2 linked regions of the Macaca mulatta genome follow. The protein of the gene in region 1 purifies or fractionates together with the protein of each later gene. This does not show direct contact. Links are inferred from orthologs where the notes say so. Each region holds a gene or a part of one and is shown on either strand. Other genes may lie near its edges.

Region 1 (4,602 bases):
GATAGTGCCACAGAAATGGAGTGTGCCACACGCATGGGGGAGTAGGGGGTACAGCACTTGCTAGAGAGGGACTGCATATGTCTCTATTTTCAGCAGAGAAGGCCTGTCAAGTTATTAAAAATACATCTCATTGTCTCCCTCTTCCACTTGTTGGAGTGCTTCCTGGCCTTGCTCTCAGAGCTGAAGCTGACATAAATCATAAAAGATATAAATGGTACCGTCTGGGCTTTCTGATCTTGCAAGGTCCCACCTAATTTAAGCTCTGGTGGATAGCCTATTTCCCATTAGTTGTCTCAATTCACAGAGGATGGAGAAAGAAAGCACTGAATGAGATGTGCAGCTCAACTCGATGAGCACTCGTTAGCCCCAATTATTTGGCTAGGACAACTTTATTCAATTTAATGGAATCCAAAATTCAGCAGTTCTTATGGAGCCTTCAATGTGCTGTAAAGCAAACCACAGATAAATGAACTGTCTGAAAGAATAACATGAGGCACTGCTAAACAAGTGTTATGGAAGAGAAAGATCACTGTAATCTAGAGTTAGTTAGAGTTAGGGCTTTCTGGAAAAGTGAGACCAACATTACACCTTCGAAAACTCTAGTGTGGTAGTGGTGCAAGTGGAGGAAAATAGGAAAGACGCAACAACATCCATGAAGACACAGAGGCAAAAAGGGCAGTGGCCCTGGGATAGTTAAAAGAGAGAAGTCTAGCTGAGGGCCTTCTTGACTTGACTAGCGGCAATTAGCCATGACTAATAACGCTTTCCACACTCCAAAGACTTAGATGGGGGGATAAAAAACCATCTACATTAGGCAGACTGTGGTAGCCTCCCTAGACCCACAGAGCTGGGCCGGATGAGCCCCGGCACTGAAGTGATCTATTATCTTTCACCATAAAGAGTAAAAGGGAAACTAAAGATAATTACCTCCATGAAACAAAAAGGTGCCTTCTTTTGCTTCAATCACATGGATATATTCTACTAGTCTAAAAGTATCGTCTCACTTCTTTCTGTCACACTGTGAGGACTTGAGTCAGAAGAAAGTTTAAATACAGGGATTGAGCTGGAAAGAGTAGAAAGAGAAGCAAAGAGGGGGAAGCTGTAGGAAGGACGAAGGCGCTCGCGAGATATATGGTTACGCTTACACCAAGCAAGCTGCCTTGGGAACGCTTTCCCCAAGCAGCCAGAATGCTCAGTAGTGGAAGACACCTCTATTCCTGTAGGCGAGTCCTGGGAAGCTGGTCAATCTGCAAACGCCAATTCTAGGCAGTGAGCTCGGTCCACTTGTAAATCAAGATTTGGGGAAAGAGTAGGGTGGGTGGCATGGTTGACGCTGTCATCAGCTCCCCCATCTGGCTTCTCTGGTCATACCCCTATCTACTCTCACCCAGCTACACCCCACCCTCGGATTTTTGATGGACGCTGGGTCCCTAGTAACCACAGCAAGCGCCTCCCCCGCACTTCCCCCTTCCCCCACCCCTCACCACCACCACCCCAGCGATGGAGCCTACTCTGCTCCAAGCCGCCGCTAAGACCCGGAGAAGCGGAATTTCACTTTGAAACTCCCGTGCCTCGTGAGGGCCGGCGCTGGGCATGCTCAGTAGCCGCGGCGCTGCTGCTGGGCTGCTGGGCTGGCGCGGAGTCCACCCTGCCGTCTCCGCCTTGGCTTTTGGGCGTCCAGAAGGCCAGGCATTTGCCGCCTCTGAGCGCTTCTGTTCCCCTTGCCCGCAACCTCCTACTCTTCTTCCTCTCTCCCTCTCTTAGGGAGGTTGAAGCCGGTGCTGGTTTGTGTCGGCGCCACAGACTGACTGCTCTGCAAACCCCAGCCGAGGACCTGCGAACGAATCCCGGAGACTAGAAGACCCTTGGCGGTGGCTCTTTCTAATAGTACTTTACCTGAAGAGGGGTCGTGGTGGAGTTTCTCCTCCACCTCTCAATGCAAACACTATGTGGAGAGCAGTCGGCTTCCCTGCGCTGTGCCTGCTCCTTAATCTTCACACTGCAGGTAAGGGGTTGCCAGGCGTAGAGCCGGAGCTGTGCATGAGATGGGCAACTGCACATGCTTAAGGACTCTAGGAAAAGCTTGCCTTGCGAAGAAAGCCTTTCCAAAAAGGTAAAGCAGGACAGTACCTGACAGGAAAGGGGTGAGGGAGTCGTGCACCTGTTGGAAAACTGAGGCCGAAAACTTAAGCTAAAATTAGATCTTGATTTTTCTTTACCTTACACGAAACTAGTGAACATTTTCAATATGAATGCAGGTTTGCTCCCCCCTTCGCCTCCCCTCCGTCTAGATTCCCTGCTCTTGTTTCTAGGCTATGCACTTAACTGTCAGTTTTTCAGGAGAGGGACAAGACATTCTGCTGGATGTAAGCTTTTCTACTGCAGCGGCTACATTCTTAAGGTCTCTTGGTCTAGCGAGCGCCCATAGGAAGGCATTGGCTGTAACCTGATGGACCACATCTCCGCCCAAAAGATCGAAATACATGGTTCACATTAGTGATGCTGCTCCAGGCTCCTTTGGCCCCTGCTCTTGTCACTCGAATTTTCTAAACCAATAAGAGGAAGGAAAGGTTTCAAATAGAATCCTCTTGTCTCTTTCAGCACCATGGCTAGCGTCCGCTGGCACTAAAAAATAAATAAAAATAAAAATTACAGTTCAAACCCTGGGATAGGCACTGTCCCTAGGACAGATTTGATAAGGTGTAACCAAGAGTAACAGTGAGACTGCTCCCAAATATAAATAGATTTGAGGCACCAGAATCAATATCAAGTATCGTGTGGAAGCAAACCTGGGGAAGTACCTGAGAGATATTGTATGTGGTGTCCCTGCTTTTTGGATACATAGCACCTCTATTTTATGCAGAGGACTTGCTGGGCTGAATTCCTTATCATTGTCACATACACATGAACCGAAATAAAATGTGGCAGAGATATTTTAGAAACCCTACTGTGACAGCAGTTGTCCATGCAGCAGTCCTGTAACAACCAGAGACTAGGCATTTTCCCTGAGTGTGCTTCTCATCCAATCACACATATCCATTCATTCCTTCAACCAACATTTGCTGAGCGTATACTATGTTCTAGGGGTAATGAGTAAAAATAATTGTTTGAAATTACAATCCTTGCGGTATCTTTTTTAAAAGAGTGGGTGAATTTTATTCTCTGTGTACAATAGTGGGAGTGAAATATGGTTCTTTCTTATTCCAGCTAATGCTATTATTTAAATGTATCATGAATCTTTTGAGCATATAATGCATAGGGTTATTAAAGCTATTATTAAATACACATGTTAATTGTTATAATTATGATGTTATATTGTGGGGTTTTCAATAGTTCTTTGGTACATTTTGAAAACCAGAAAATAGCTATGACTTGATTATTAAATTATTTGCAAACAGCTGTAGTGAGTTCTTTCATTACCACATACAATTCTTCAATGCTGAAATATGGGACAAAAACATACACATTGGGTTGAGTTTTATTTATAGTATTGCTTAATAATAGACTGATACAAACATTCATTACAGAAAAATCTCAATTCTTACTAAGTTAGCAATGATTTAGTTGGTCTGCCAACAATAGCAGTGTAGTCATTTTTTTCAAAACTAACATATAAAAGAGTTTAAAGATAACATTTAATACACCTTGAGTAATTATATCTTAAAAGTTATAAATAAACTTAAGCATGTGAAAAACATGTCTTAATTTACTGTAGATGAATATTTGGGATGAGAAAAATAGAGGACTTTTGCTCATCAAATGAGAAACCTAAAAGCTTGTAGCCCTAGATTATACCTGGAGCTCTGCCAAAGGGTGTATTACCAAAGCCAATCCAATCCATCTCTACTTCAACTTTTTAACTGCAAAACAAAGATAAAAAGTAAGATTAATCAACCAATTTTAATTTAATAAGACAATGCATTTAAGGACATTTTTATATTTCAATTGCAAGATGCTGAATATTCATTGTATTCATATTTAATATGGTGAAATATATTGGTGTTTTATCACAACAGATTGCAAGTTTAATATTATAGTTCTCTTGCCAGTTGTATTTTAAATGCATTTTAATTTTAAACAGCAATTTGTGGGTCACAAGCTGTTATCAGATTAAAATTTATCACAGTTATCTAATGACATTGTTAGGGCTTTTCATCAGAACTGAAACAAACATAGCTCCTTGGTCTAAGCTTCTATACATTTGGAGATTAACAAAATAAGTGGACAGGATGACAAAGATCAAGAAATCACTAGTATCTCTACTTGTTGAAGGTGTGAGTTTGTTACTTTTGTGGAAGACTTTTCTCTCAGGACAGAGGCCGACTTCATAAAGAAGGGAAATGAATTCTATACATTTACGTCTCTTTAATTGTAAAGCTAATTGATCCATTTTGGTTATGCCCAAGGTATCAGCAACTGCTTTATGCTGGTGGAACTGATGACATCTTACAATGCTTTAGAGATGGGAGGAAAGGGTTGATGGGATGTAAGTGTTCTTTTTAGCTATACTAGGAACTGTTGCCTTCAATATAACCATGCCCCTAATGATAAGTAGCAAATTGCTTGCAACTTGAGTGCCATCTCCCATTATTTTGGTTATGG
Region 2 (4,575 bases), on another chromosome or scaffold:
TTAGTCGGGAATGCAGGGCAGGAAATCTCTTGTAAAAGCTGGAACTAAGGTTCAGGAAAGGTCATTTGACTTGCCTAAATTCGATGAGACTTCTGCCCTCTTCTCCTTACTCGAAGAGGCCTGAGTTGAATGCTTAAAATCCTCTTCACTGATGGCTCTTCAGGGTAGGAGTCAGTTTCAAATCTTCAGTGTAATGGTTTTTTAAATGCTTCTCAAAGGGAGATATCAGACTTTCCTGAATCAGAATTACCTAAGATGTATTATAAAAATACATGCTCTTGATGCCTTCCTCTGACCTACCCAATTAGACTCCCTGTGAGTCCTGGGAACTTGCATCTTAAACTCCCAGGGTGATTTTTCTGCATGTAAGTTTAAGAACTATTAGGAGAGTTTGAATGGAAAGCCTCAGCTTTTTTTTTTTTTTTTTTTTTTTTTTTTTTTTTTTTTTTTGAGACGGAGTCTCCTTCTGACGCCAGGCTGGAGTGCAGTGGCGCGATTTTAGCTCACTGCAACCTCCGCCTCCCGGATTCAAGCAATTCTCCTGCCTCAGTCTCCCGAGAAGCTGGAACTACAGGCTCAAGCCACCATGCCCAGCTAATTTTTGTATTTTTCAGTAGAGACGGGGTTTCACCATGTTGGCCAGGATGGTCTCTATCTCTTGACCTCGTGATCCGACCGCCTCGGCCTCCCAAAGTGCTGGGATAACAGGCGTGAGCCACCGCGCCCAGCCCCTGGAAAGCCTCAGCTTTGATGCAGGGTTAACATTTGCCTTTGGGACATATTTCGTCAGCATCTCGAAGAGTAACCCACATGTAGAGTAACCCATATGTCCTTGAGCAGATGGGAATGCAACAGCCTTCTGGCCAGAACCTGTCTCTCACTTTTTTTTTTTTTTTTTTTAATTTGAGACGGAGTTTCGCTTCTGTTTCCCAGGCTGGAGTGCAATGGCGCGATCTCGGCTCACCACAACCTCCACCTCCCGGGTTCAAGCGATTCTCCTGCCTCTGCCTCCCGAGTAGCTGGGACTCCAGGTGCGCGCCACCACGCCCGGCTAATTTTGCATTTTTAGTAGAGACGGGGGTTTCGCCATTTTGGTCAGGCTGGTCTCGAACTCCCGACCTCAGGTGATCCGCCCGCTTCGGCCTCCCAAAATGCTGGGATTACAGGCGTGAGCCACCGCGCCCTGCCACCTATCTCTTTTTCATGCAAGTGTTTTTTGGAATTTGGGGGTTCAGCTGAGCAGGTGCTCCGCTGCTAGTAACTACTCGCAGTTAAAGATCTTTTGACTCTTTCCCCGACACGCTATTTGTCACTGTCGTTTTCCACCACAGAGCCAGGTATTTGCCCTGCCGGCCACGGTGGGGCGCGCGCGGCGTGTGCTGCCCGCTTATCTCTTCCTTCCCTGGTCCGCCTTCGCGCCCTTAAGGAGACAGTTCCTGGGAGTTTCTGCCTTTGGGCTCCAGTTGTTGCTCTCTTCTCGCGAGAACTGCCCCTCTCATCCTCTCCTCTCACGAAGCCCCGCCCGCGAAGAGGTTCCATATTGGGTAAAATCTCGGCTCTCGGAGAGTCCCGGGAGCAGTTCTCGCGAGAGTACTGCGGGAGGCTCCTGTTTGCTGGCTGTGGAACCGCGACCACTGGAGCCTCAGCGGGCGCAGCAGCTGGATCCGGAGTACTGCGACGCAGCTCGGAGTCGGCCTTGTAGGGACGAAGGTGCAGGGAGATCGCGGCAGGCGCAGCCTTGAGCGCCGGAGCGCGTCCCTGCCCTTAGCGGGGCTTGCCCCAGTCGCAGGGGCGCATCCAGCCGCGGCGGCTGACAGCAGCCGCGCGCGCGGGAGTCTGCGGGGTCGCGGCAGCCGCACCTGCGCGGGCGACCAGCGCAAGGTCCCCGCCCGGCTGGGCGGGCAGCAAGGGCCGGGGAGAGGGTGCGGGTGCAGGCGGGGGCCCCATAGGGCCACCTTCTTACCCGGCGACTGCCGCTGGAAAATGTCTCAGGAGAGGCCCACGTTCTACCGGCAGGAGCTGAACAAGACAATCTGGGAGGTGCCCGAGCGTTACCAGAACCTGTCTCCAGTGGGCTCCGGCGCCTATGGCTCTGTGTGGTGAGTGTCGCCGGGCCTGGGGCCGCTGTGGGCAGGGTGGCCCCTCGCGCCCGAGAGCCAGGCCTGCACGACTGCTCTGCGTTGCGTCAAGTGGCAGGAATTTTCCTCGGGGGAGGGCCTTGCTGCCCCTTCGAGCTCTGCCTGTTCTGCACCTCCTGCACCCCTCGCCCTGCACTCACGCGGGTATTGCGGTCCACCGTGTGCAGCGCTCAAGTCCGCTGCGAGAGGTAGGTGGTGGTGCTGGAGCTCGGTTCTGGCTAGCACCCTGCGCCTTCGCCTCTCGGAAGGTTGCTGCTCGGCGGCAGGCACCGGGGGAAGGGCTGCTTCCTTGGGGGTCTCCCTCCGGACCTGGAGCAGAAGGACCCTCTCCCGCGATGCGCCCACGCTGTGGCGCCGGACCCTGTCCTCTGAGCAGACAAGCTTGGGGAGCTGCCGGGAGAAGCAGAAGGGCAGAGCGCAACCCGAAGACTGCGGTCATCTAAACAAAACTGACCAGGAAGGGAGCTCTCTCCGGGCCTTTTTTTTTTTTTTTTTCCCCAAACCTCTGTCGAAATCCCATCTCGAGAAGTGTTCTTTTTGAATTCGCACTTGAATTAGCAGCGATCCATAGAGCTTAAAATACCGACTTTATCTCGGTGAACACTGTGCCAGCTTGAGTGGTGTGTTTCCGATTCGGTTGAAAGCGTATTTCCTTTCTGTGGAGGGGCGGCGGTGGTAGTGCCTGCAAGAACGCTGCAGCTTGAGAAACTGGCAGTCTCACTGATTAGTCACATACCACTGCTCATTTAAGTATTGTTCGACAAAACAGTTTTTTCATTTGGAGCAAGAAAGATTCAGATCTGTAAGGCGCCCTCAAGATCAAAAAATTATTAACAGTGCTAGGAGGTATTGTAAGTATTTTTTGAGATAATTCCTGCGAATACTGTGTTTTAAAAGTCCCTTTCAGAGTTTGCAGGGATTTATCTAGTTATCTGCATTTATGGCCTGAGGTACACGATGGTTTTCGTAAGGATATGGAACCACATAGAAAAGGAAGGGAAGAGATACTTTTTAGCTTTAATTTACACCGTGAGTGTGTTTTAAATTAAGTCGATACCATGTAATTTCCAGACCTGAAATATTTCACTAACTGCTCTCTAATTTTCAAGGTTTTATACCCTGTATTTTAGATTTTCTATAATTTAAAAGCTACGGATCTGAAACTAAATATCAGATTTAACTGTTAGCTTTTTCTGTGTTTTAGTAATTCGTATTGTATGCGTCATTTGAAAAGGGGCCTGTAAAATAGTTTTTTGTTTTGGAACAAATTCCAGGCTTTTGGATGTGTTAATCTTTAAATATGATTTCTGTGTTTCCCAAAGTCACATCATGAATTTCCTGTTTGGTAGAATCTTCTGGGTAATTGAGATTGTGCAATTGTGTCCAGTAACAGATCATATTGCATTTTCTAGTTCAAGCTGCTTAAGTTATGTTGCAGATGGCACCGTGCGTGACATCTTTCTCCCATTTTTACAGCATGGCAGTTTACATTTTAAAGGAATTTGCAGGATTTTACATTCAGAGTGTGTGTGTGTATAGTTGATTTGCAGCATTTTACATTCGATATATACATGTTAATATATGTATATCCATTCAGTATATACATATTATGTATATCTAGTTGATTTGCTAATTTTCAAAGATGTATTTGGATCATTGTTCTTTTAATATTTTATAGCTCATTAATATACTTCCATTTTTTCATTCTTGAATTGACACATTCATTTCTGTAGTATCACGTTTTTGTTTTCAATGCTATTTAAATTTTAATGGAGTGATAACAGCAGAATAACTCATCTATAGAGGGTTTGGGTGAACTCCAGTTGAATTCCTCGCAAAGGTTCAGTACTGTTGGTGACTAGCTCTGCACTGGAACAGGAGATCCAGATTTACAGTGAAGTACCATTAAAATTAACTCCACATTTCTTTAGTGGTATATTTTTCTGTGGTATAAAAGCCAGCAGAGGCCGGGCGCGGTGGCTCAAGCCTGTAATCCCAGCACTTTGGGAGGCTGAGACGGGCGGATCACGAGGTCAGGAGATCGAGAAAGTCCTGGTTAACACGGTGAAACCCCGTCTCTACTAAAAAATACGAAAAAGTAGCCGGGCGAGGTGGCGGGCGCCTGTAGTCCCAGCTAACCGGGAGGCTGAGGCAGGAGAATGGCGTAAACCCGGGAGGCGGAGCTTGCAGCGAGCCAAGATGGCGCCACTGCACTCCAGCCTTGGCGACAGAGCGAGACTCCGTCTCAAAATAAAAAAAAAGCCAGCAGTATCTGACACTTAAAAGTACTTTTATTGAACAGATTTTTAAAAATAGGTAATATATTCACATTGTATAAAATTTGAAAGTTTTAAAAAGGTATTCAGTGGGCCGGGCGCGGTGGCTCAAGCCTGTAATCCCAGTAGTTTGGGAGGCCGAGGCGGGTGGATCAGGAGAT

Evidence for each region.
Region 2: the proteins of PTPRR (region 1) and MAPK14 purify together in Homo sapiens (affinity purification with mass spectrometry; 4 studies listed by BioGRID and IntAct, counting the BioPlex papers as one, with this or other methods). This does not show direct contact. The link is inferred for Macaca mulatta from reciprocal best matches to the Homo sapiens genes PTPRR and MAPK14.

The regions. Positions count from the first base shown.
Region 1 is NC_133416.1:77,999,146-78,003,747, reverse strand, and holds the start of PTPRR (receptor-type tyrosine-protein phosphatase R), read left to right. Parts: upstream 1-1,599; 5' UTR 1,600-1,947; coding exon 1,948-2,005; intron 2,006-4,602. UniProt on the Homo sapiens protein: Sequesters mitogen-activated protein kinases (MAPKs) such as MAPK1, MAPK3 and MAPK14 in the cytoplasm in an inactive form.
Region 2 is NC_133409.1:146,226,518-146,231,092, reverse strand, and holds the start of MAPK14 (mitogen-activated protein kinase 14), read left to right. Parts: upstream 1-1,633; 5' UTR 1,634-1,983; coding exon 1,984-2,099; exon of another isoform or gene 2,100-2,326; intron 2,327-4,575. UniProt on the Homo sapiens protein: Serine/threonine kinase which acts as an essential component of the MAP kinase signal transduction pathway.